Oryzias latipes: one gene and its partner. The protein of the gene in region 2 purifies or fractionates together with the protein of the main gene of each other region. This does not show direct contact. Links are inferred from orthologs where the notes say so. Each region holds a gene or a part of one and is shown on either strand. Other genes may lie near its edges.

Region 1 (4,723 bases), on a different chromosome or scaffold from region 2:
AAGACGCTGCGGAACAAAAACGCGACTTTACCTCCATTTTTCTGCTTCAACTGATTCCTAACATTAAAGAAACAGCTGGATAATGATAAAAACCGGGATTATTACTCCGCCCCGCAATAATCCTGGACTACGACGACCAGATTGGAAGGAAGTTTTTTTAATTATTATGGGATGGCCACAGGTGCCACGGCTTGGTGGTCACTGTGTGGCAGAGAGTGACGTTTGGTGATTTTCACATTCGTCTACAATTTATTCTACAATTTACAATTCAAAAGTCTTCAACAAGAGCTGAAGTTTCATTGACCTTTGACCTCGGGAAGAAGCTGCCATCTTGAATTTTGTAAAAAAATACATATTTATCCCGTTTAGTCCCAGCTACAAATTTAAACTCCTCCTAAGAATCGCCTCCTGACTCCTGGAGCGGTGTCCTTGGGAAACTAATTGGAATTTTGGAAATAAAGTTTGTGGATTTTGAACGGCGAGTTCACAAAAGTGGCGATTTCCTGTTGTGGGCGCATTTTTTACCGGAATATTGAGAAAATGGAGCGCACCTCTGCTCAAGCTGAACCAAACGATATGACAAACAATATGAACATATAAGAAATGTGGGTGTGGTTAACAAAAATCCTACGTTGCTAAGGAAATCCAAAAATCTACTTTTGCAGATTCTTCTAAAAATGACCGAAACCTGTTCGTCACCCCGCGGTGACCAAAAACTGAAATGGTTGCCATGGAGATAAAACCATCAGAAAAGCCGCACTTTTGAATAAAAGTGTTCTCTTTCATGAATTTGTGACCAGACTGGCAGAAGGGGAGGGTGAAGGCGGTTCAAAAGGGGGCAGTGTCCTCTGCAGGTCATGCAACGCCGTTTACGGCTTTAATTTTATATTAAAGTTTGCTAAAACATGCCATTTTTAACTTTAAAAACTCAGCGGGACAAGGGGACAGACCCAAAGGTGAAGGTACGCACCTGTAACGATGTACTGCGAGTCTCCGGAGAAGGCGCAGTCCCACATCCAGCCTCGGGACGTCTCCCCGGGGTTGTTGCTTTTGATGCTCAGCTCCGTCATCAGGGAGAAGTTGGACGTCCTCCAGATCTTGCAGGTCTGATCCGCTGAGCAGGTGGCCAGTAGTCTGGAGACATTCAAGGAGAAACATCAATGAGGTTTTTTTTCTGTTTGGCCTCACGTCAGGCAGAAACAACAAAAAGCCTCACGTGGAGTCGGGGCTGAACTTGCAGCGCAGCGAGTATCGTTTGTGCGCCGGGATCTTCGTCTTTGGAATGAGCTGCGTCACTTCGTCTCCCATCCCTCCAGCCAGGTTCCACACGTAACAGTTTCCCTGTTGGGGGGGGGAACAGGAACCTCACTCTAGTTTCTCTCCAACCCCAGTTTTTGCGTCCCATGTTCAGTTTGGGGACGCACCGAGCTGTTGACGGCTGCCATGTAGCTGGCATCGGGGTCGATGTGGACAGAGTTCACCGAGACTTCTGGCTCTGGAATCAGCTGTTCGTTGTGGTCCGTTTTCAGGTCCCAGATGTGAATCACGCCACTCTGATCCCCAACAATCAGCTCCGCCTAAAAGAAAAATCACAAAACGCTGACAAATCTACAGATAAATCCACATCAAACACCTGTGCAGCTTTGAGGATACCTGATTGGGATGAAGACACACACAGTTGATGGGAGCGTTTACTTGGAAGATCCTCTGACACTGCAGGTTTCTTGACCTGAAAGGAGGAGGGTTGATAACAGCAGAGTGGATTTCTGCCGGGGTGTGCGGTGGAGGTGAACCGCCGTACCTTAGGTCCCATATGCGAGCCATGCAGTCCTCTCCTCCGGTGTACATCCAGCGTCCGTCCTCATGGAAGCCCACGGAGGTGATGTTCTTGCTGACTCCGTCGTAGTTGATGACGGGGTTTGGGTTGTTGGAGTTCAGGTCGTACATGCGGATGTGCTGATACCCTGCAGGAGGAAGAGGAGGAACGCGCAGTGAAACGCCGCGCAGCCTTCAAATGGGAGAGTTTGGACTGACCTGCGGCGGCGATCATGCTTCTGTCCGGGGTCACTTCAAGGGAATTCACTTGCTGAAATGACGAGTTAAAGGCCCACTCCGAAAGTCGCGTTTTTGAGGTATTTAGCATATATATGCCTTTTATAGCATTTTTCTACAACAAAATACATATTATGTATGAGAATAATGCTGTAAAATATTAAGCCTATTGCATTTAATTAACAGTTGATGGTTTTATTTTTAGTGTGTGTGGTGAATCAAACAAAAACAAAACAAAAACGGATTATGTCAAACAAGTTAGAGCAAAGGTCACCTGTATTTTATTTTTATTTAACATAATACCGTTCCGTAGTAAAATTATTATTAAAAAGTAAAAAAAAATTACACTAATAAATTTGTAAAAGTATAAACAACAATAAAAATGTAAAATTTTACGAGACTAAAGTCATAATTTTGTTTTTCAATTCAGTAAAGCTCCGAAATTGGGGGCCATTTCGTCAGGTTGGGGTGTGAGCGGCTGTAAGCCAGCGGTAGCGCATGTAAACAGAGAGCTCTCACCGAACCGTTCTAACCAGGGAAAGGATACCGAGTCCTGATGCTGCACCGTCCGGGTACAGATCCCGCTGTGGGCCTGCCAGAACCGGACTGTGTGATCGTATCCAGCCGTGGCCAGGATAACCGGGTCGCTGCCCACCGTGCCCTGGTTGACATTCATGCTTCTCCGCTAGTGTGTCACGGTTACAAACAACACCAGAACCCGTCAGTCCACTTAGTTACATCTGACGAACTCGGTCCAAACGATCGGCCAACGACGTCAGCTCAAGCTTTTTGAAGTTAACTCTTTTAAAGAAAAGCCGTTTTAAAAATATCTGAATGTGAGAAAACATCTAAAAATCTGATAAGAATTCGCTTTACAGATTTCCTGAAGCCATCATTCGCGACTGCGGTACGTCTGACTAACGCGTCCCCGATAAACACAGAAGTGTGTCAAACGTTCCGCTTTGAAAAAAAAATTGTTTAAATGCAGGAATGCAACGATGTAAAATAATAATAATAAAAAATAAATCATAATAGAGGTAGAATCATAAAATCGCCTTTTCCCACACTCTTTCAGGTAATTAATCAACTTTTATTTGGCAATCATTACAATAAATGTGCAAATATGTCTCCTTATGATTCAGAGTAATATGTCAAAAAATATTTAAACATATTGTTTTATTTCTTTTTAATCATTTTTATGAATTCAAAATTTTAATACATATTTTTCTTTTTTTATGGTTAAAATTGCTTTAAATAAAGCATTTATTGTCGCTACATAAAATCTACATCATTCTTTTTATTTTAAATATACTTTTTTTTATAACAGTTGCTTTTGTTTTTTTTTTCTTTTTTAATTGTATTTTGTGATAATAAATCAGAATTTTTTTTCAAAACACAACTTTATTAAACAGGAACAATTTAACGCCTTTTTTTAAATAAATCAATTTATATCAATAAGTTAAATAAATAAGAATAAATAAATAAATAACAGTTGAAGCATCTGTTTACATTGTAATTAGCGCAGAACAAATGTAAATAGAACAGACTTCGCATTGCTGGTTCAAAGCTGCTGCAGAACAGCCGACATATGCTGCTTCACCTCTCCTGGGTCGGCCGGAGAGCAGGCCAGGATCACCCCCCTGATGCCGCTTTTCGTTCTCGCAGAGGGAAGGATCTGCGGCAGACGATCTCATGAACAATAAAAACACATCACAAAGACAAAAAAAAAAAAAACATGCCTTTTGAAGGCTGGAATACCTTCAGGTATATTTTGCATCTTTCCAGAAGAAACTTCCACTTGAGAGCGGTGCGCTGATCATCGGTCAGACGGATGAACTCGTCCGTCTGGAAGCAGGCAGCAGCATATTTAAGAGAAGTCTGTGGATCTCAGCAGTTTGGAGCTGACCCCCCCCCTCAGCCTCTGAGGAGTTACCGACCGAGCAGCCGAGCGTCTGCTCCGCCGTGGCGCCCCGGAGGCTGCAGGCCTGCAGCGTGCCGGTGTGGTCGGTCAGGTCCACCAGCAGGTCGAAGCCTGTGGTGCCTGAGAACGGCTGCTCCCCGCCCGGACACAGCTGGTTACCGCAGCTCTGCATGTCCGCCGTCAGCAGGAACCTACATTTAGAGCTGAAAAAAGCCCAAATCGAAGCACGGACAGATGGAAGGAAAGAAGGAGGCCGTGACTTTGGTGCGATCGTACCAGCGGGTCTTGATGACTTTAGAGGCAGAGGAGTCCAGGTCCAGCTTGGAGATGAAGCTGTAAGTCAGGCCGAAGAAAGTCTCCGGTTGCTCCTTGGCCTTCAACTTCAGCTGGTTGACGGTGTAAACGTCAGTGATGGAGTCCACTGCAGGCAGAAAACAAACACAAACACGCAAAAATGAAGCCACAAAAAACAAACAAACACCAACTCTTATCAACAACCGGGTATGGAGTCTGAATGATTTACCTTTTGGTTTACGGATCCTCTTAATAATTATTCAAATGTATTATATTTAATAATAAAGCATTTAGCTTTGTTGTGGAGTTCACCACAAAGTGACTGATTAGAATTTTAGTTTAAAGACCTCAAATGTGATTTTTCTTTTATTAGACACAAAAAGACAAGACAACAGAGGAAAATAATAACATCCTTTTAAATATGAATGATATAATTGAGCATCTCTGTCAAATACT
Region 2 (4,878 bases):
AAAACTGTCTCCATCTCTTTAACAATTTTGCCACCGGAGTCAGATAAGTTTAGGAGAATCTTCACTTTTGCAACAAATATTAAACATAATCCAAACATACTGAGGAATAGGAAAACAAATTGAGAAACAAGTTAGGGTTTACAGTAAAAAAATATATATATTATTTTAGTTTTATAGCCAGCAGGTTATTCTAGTTGAATAGAAGCTTATGATGCATTTCTATCCCCAGAGCTTTTTTTTTTTTTTAATCTAAACTGTGGTATAAACCTCAGCAGGTCAGCAGCTACATTTCAGAGGAAGAGTAGTTGATCAGTCATTCAATATATCTACAGTCATCTTCCTTAAAAAGCTGCATGTGGAGCAAAAAAATGCTGCAGCATTCTTACCTTTATGAAGTTGTTCAGGTGGCCCAGTTTTCGCATGTTGCTAACTCCGTGTGGTTTAGCCACATTTTGAAGAATTTCCCGGAAGTTTTCTGATGGTTCTAGAGGGAAACAAAAAGACCATTTCAGTGGACAAAATAGCTCTGTGGTTACAGGAGAAAAGGAAAGGGCTATCAATTAGTTTACTAGTTTTACGTTTATGCAGTCAAAACTAGACCTTTATAGCAAAAAGCAAAGTCGAGCAAGTTAGACTTTGCTTTCCAACAATTCATCTAATGTTAATTATTTGATAAAATATTAAAACACTTGCGAGGTTATTTCATATGTAGACATCTAATATCTGTAGAAACTAATGTCAGATATACCAATCAATGAAGAAATCCATTTCACAAACACGTAAATAGACCATCCTAATCCCAGATTATGTTTTAAATTGTCTTATATTATCTCTCCATAAAAAAAACTGATATTTTAACAAGATTTAGAACTTCAAATACAAAGGGGGAAAAATCCGTACAGCTACAAAACAAAACAATAGAATACCACGAAAATGGTTTAACTGAGGTTGACATTTAAGAAGATTTCCTATATGATGCTAAGATAAAAGTATCAAAAGCAAAAAGGCAAACAAGCACTGGTGTATAAATATACCTTAAACTTTAGCTTCTTATCCGTGAAGCAAAAATCGATCAATCGTTTAAGAAACAGTGGTGTTATTGCATTATAAACGTTCCTGGGGGGTAATCCAGGAAGCATGTTTAAACTACCCTGACTTTAACCCTGAACTCTGGCTGAAATCTCAAATTTACATATTTTTCTAACTAAATGTCATATTACTCCAATTCAATTAAATGTCTTTCCATCTTAATTTATTGTATTTCTTGAACTCTCATATGTCTACATTTGAGCCTGTAGATATTCTCATTTTTATAACATTAAAATGAATGAAACAATATAGATTCACAACACAAAACTTAAAGTCATTTATCCTTTCTCTGACTTTGACATTACAACACTGAGCAGTAGGGGTGCTAAATAACCTCATCATTCTCTCCCTCCCTCTCACTCATGGTGCAGAAAGAATTAAACACAACAGGACAAATAACTCGGAAATACACAGTAAAACAGATAAACAACTAAACACATTTGGTCAAAAACCCACACTTAAACCCAAATCCGTCCAGACAGGCAAAGGGAATGGTATCCCACAATTCCTTGCAGCGCCGATCTAACAGCAGCACCAAAGTTACACCTACTTAATTGAATTAATTTGAATTAAAGTAAAATAACTGTCTGATAACTTAGTGTTCTTTTTAAGCTCATGTAACAAAAAGAATGTATCTTAACTGAAGCAAATAATTAAGTTAGATTAATGTAAAAAAGTTCATCTTTCCAACATCCATACGTGGTCTTATCACCCTCTCATGGTGGAAAAAGTATTATCTGAGCTTCTTCATCCACTAAATCATCTTCAAATGGACACTGCATGCTCCTTCACCTCTCTGAAACCAACTAACCTTCAACTAAACCTGCTCCAGACCAGGTTATGTTCAGAGCATGAGTTGCTATAGCAACTTCACATACCCTGAAACATACCACTGTTTTTGGAACCAAAAGCTGAGGCTATCCGCTTCCTTAGCCTCAAACTTATCGTGGTAAATAGCATAACCTACTTTCTGGAATACCCCCCATCAATGGTTGAGTTTGTTCCAGTAAGATACGTTTTATATAAAAACCTAAGCTGACAAAAAACACAAACTATGTTCGTAATCGTTTTCCTAATTTAGGACCGAAATGTTTCCATCAGAACTCGTTGATCGTGCTTTTATCGTGAGTCAAGTGTGCCTAGCAGCCGCAAAAGGTTCCAAACAAAGAAAACAGCCGCTGGTTGGTGTAAACAAACAAGCAGACAGTGCTGTTGCTAGATGAGCAAATTTAACTCGGCTGAGCTGTGAATAAAAAAAAAAAAGCCCGTATGTGCATTGCTCAGCAAACCGGCTTAAGCTCAGGGTTTCTGACAGCCAGCGGAGCCTCGTGTATTAATGCAACTCTAATGGCTGTCTCGCTAAATAGCAGGCTCTGCAGCCCACTCACGCCTACCAAAACAACAGCGCATCGTCATGACTGGTTAGCTGTGGCAGCCAGCTAACGCTAAATCAGCTAGCTAGTTAGCTCCCTCTCGCCTGTTTATAGCCACAAAGGAAGATTTTTGAACAAAACAACAACAAATAAAACGTTTAATTAAAAATGCATCCACGTGGCAATCTCGTGGTTCATTTAGAGGTTCGTATATTTTGTGCATAAAGTCAACCATAATCCATTTTGAGCAATAATAGCTTTTAGAATGATGAGCCTCTGCTTACCTCTACTCAGATCCAGCGGTACGTTCTCCTCCCCGCTGTCATTCCGCCCTGACAAAAACAAACGCAACGGAAACGCTGAAGGACAAATTCAATGCTATGTTTTGTGGGAGACGTGCTCTTATTGCAATACGCTGCCATTCCAACAAATTATGAGCTGAGTTTTTCACGCTTACCTCGCATCCGAAGACTCCGGATAGGACGGCCGCGGAAGCTGGCCGCCATGTTTCCAGGAACATACACAACACCGGAAACTTCGCGGAATGTCGCGAGAACACGGACATCAAACGCAAATCGCTGCGGTGCAAATCACAGATCTGGGATCAGGCGAATCCCAGTTAATCCCTTAACCTCCAACGGCAATGAAAAAATAATCTGACCTGGCGACTGAACGACAGAAATAAACAGTTTAGTTAGCAGCAGTATTCGAGTTTTAATTGCAAATGTAATATTTATTTATTAATATTTTTCAGCATGACCAATTTGCTAAATTTGTTTTTATAAAAACAAATCTTAGTTTTTTTGTTTGAGTTTGTGTCATGGTTCATGTTTTCATGTATGATTGGGATTTAGTGACAGGAATAATTTGTGCAAAATGTTTTGTAATATGGTTTAAACGTATGTTTTTATCCTAACTTTAGGGAAATATTTAAGTTGAAAACAAAAAATAATATGTTCTAACTTGATTTAAGGCAAGTTGTGTTATGTTAAAGTTATTGTTACAAATAGGAAATATTCAAAGAATAAATAACAATAATAAGTACAACACAAGTAGTGCACATAATGGACCTGCTTAGAGGATTTGGACATCACTGCAGCTCCTTTTTCTGCACACATATCAGCAAAAACATAATTCTTTCATCTTCTCAGAGACTATTTTTGTTCAAACCCAAAGGGATTTTTGTTGCATTAGCCTGCTTAAATGATTTTGCAATTACAGAAAGACCTTGACCTACTTTTTCATTCCAACCTCATGAGTCTTGATCATGAGTCTTGATGTCTGTCGCTGTATAGTTTATGACAGCTGGTCCCACAGAGCTTGTTACTTGAGTTCATAGAAGTGTACTCTAAACGATGAACAATACATGAATTATTTTTAGCTTCTCTCTTGAGTAAAAAACGTGTTTGTTTTTACTAACGTTGTGATACCAAAGACTTCTTTCATGCAAAAAATTCAAGACGTGTAAATTACAGAATAACTGGTTCATTAAAAAACAGAGGTACCAAAAGTAAAAGACGAATGTTTCAACATTTTCAGTTGTTATATTATCATTTTTTTTTAAAAGCTGCAAGAAAACTCAGGTTGCTATGACCACATTAACCACTAGATGGCGCTAATGCTTTACGAACACAAACCAAGACAGAAAAAAGATGGCCACTTAACCGGATAATGATAAATCATGTTATAAAATGGTTACGGTAGAACAGGGGTGGGTTTATATAAGTTCGCTTCCTTCCACTCCCTTTCAAGCAATATTTATTTATATGATTAATTATCCAAAGTTTGATTAGTTGTGGTACGAATCTATAACTGATGATTGTATTGTTTTTATGTATTATTCCTATTTGATTGCTTGAAATGAACCATTTCAATTCAATTCAACTTTGGAAATGTGTTGAAAAATCACTAATCCTTCCTCTTGAATGTTTATCACAAAACCTATTTATATTATGTTCACAGATATGTCTTCATTTCACTTCCAACTTTTATAAATGTCACCCGCGTAAAAGCGCAAAATAATCCATCAAATGCTTTAATAGGTGGTTTCTTTCACCTCTCACTTAAACCTCATTTTGAAGAACTTTTTTGCAGTTTCACTAGTCTGTTTTTCCCTTACTGCAAGTTTTCAAGTTATTTCAAGTCACTTCCTGTTTTTGTCTCTCCTTGTACAAAATGCATTGGGGTAAAACATCTGTAATTATGGATTCAATGATGTTTCCTAAAACATTGTTAGACAAACACTAACCTATTATATCTACATTATCTATTGCTCTAGTGTTTCTTTGGAGTCTTCCTGGCAATACCCATTTCCCAAAATGACCATTAATGTATCTAAGAATCCAAATGTGCATTTTAATTATCCATTATCTGAGTTAAGAATTGTGCCTAAAAGAGCAGAACCAAGAATTTCCGT

The links.
Region 1: the proteins of rictor (region 2) and mlst8 purify together in Homo sapiens (affinity purification with western blotting; 14 studies listed by BioGRID and IntAct, with this or other methods). This does not show direct contact. The link is inferred for Oryzias latipes from reciprocal best matches to the Homo sapiens genes RICTOR and MLST8.

What each region holds. Positions count from the first base shown.
Region 1 is NC_019877.2:3,130,895-3,135,617, forward strand, and holds the start of mlst8 (target of rapamycin complex subunit LST8), read right to left. Parts: upstream 2,978-4,723; 5' UTR 2,729-2,977; coding exon 2,600-2,728; intron 2,087-2,599; coding exon 2,035-2,086; intron 1,965-2,034; coding exon 1,802-1,964; intron 1,730-1,801; coding exon 1,654-1,729; intron 1,578-1,653; coding exon 1,425-1,577; intron 1,342-1,424; coding exon 1,217-1,341; intron 1,135-1,216; coding exon 971-1,134; intron 7-970; coding exon 1-6. Other genes in the region: meiob (meiosis-specific with OB domain-containing protein), read right to left, coding at 3,614-3,727, 3,811-3,897, 3,990-4,176, 4,250-4,394.
Region 2 is NC_019867.2:18,765,515-18,770,392, forward strand, and holds the start of rictor (rapamycin-insensitive companion of mTOR), read right to left. Parts: upstream 2,987-4,878; 5' UTR 2,969-2,986; coding exon 2,920-2,968; intron 2,795-2,919; coding exon 2,747-2,794; intron 485-2,746; coding exon 387-484; intron 1-386. UniProt on the Homo sapiens protein: Component of the mechanistic target of rapamycin complex 2 (mTORC2), which transduces signals from growth factors to pathways involved in proliferation, cytoskeletal organization, lipogenesis and anabolic output.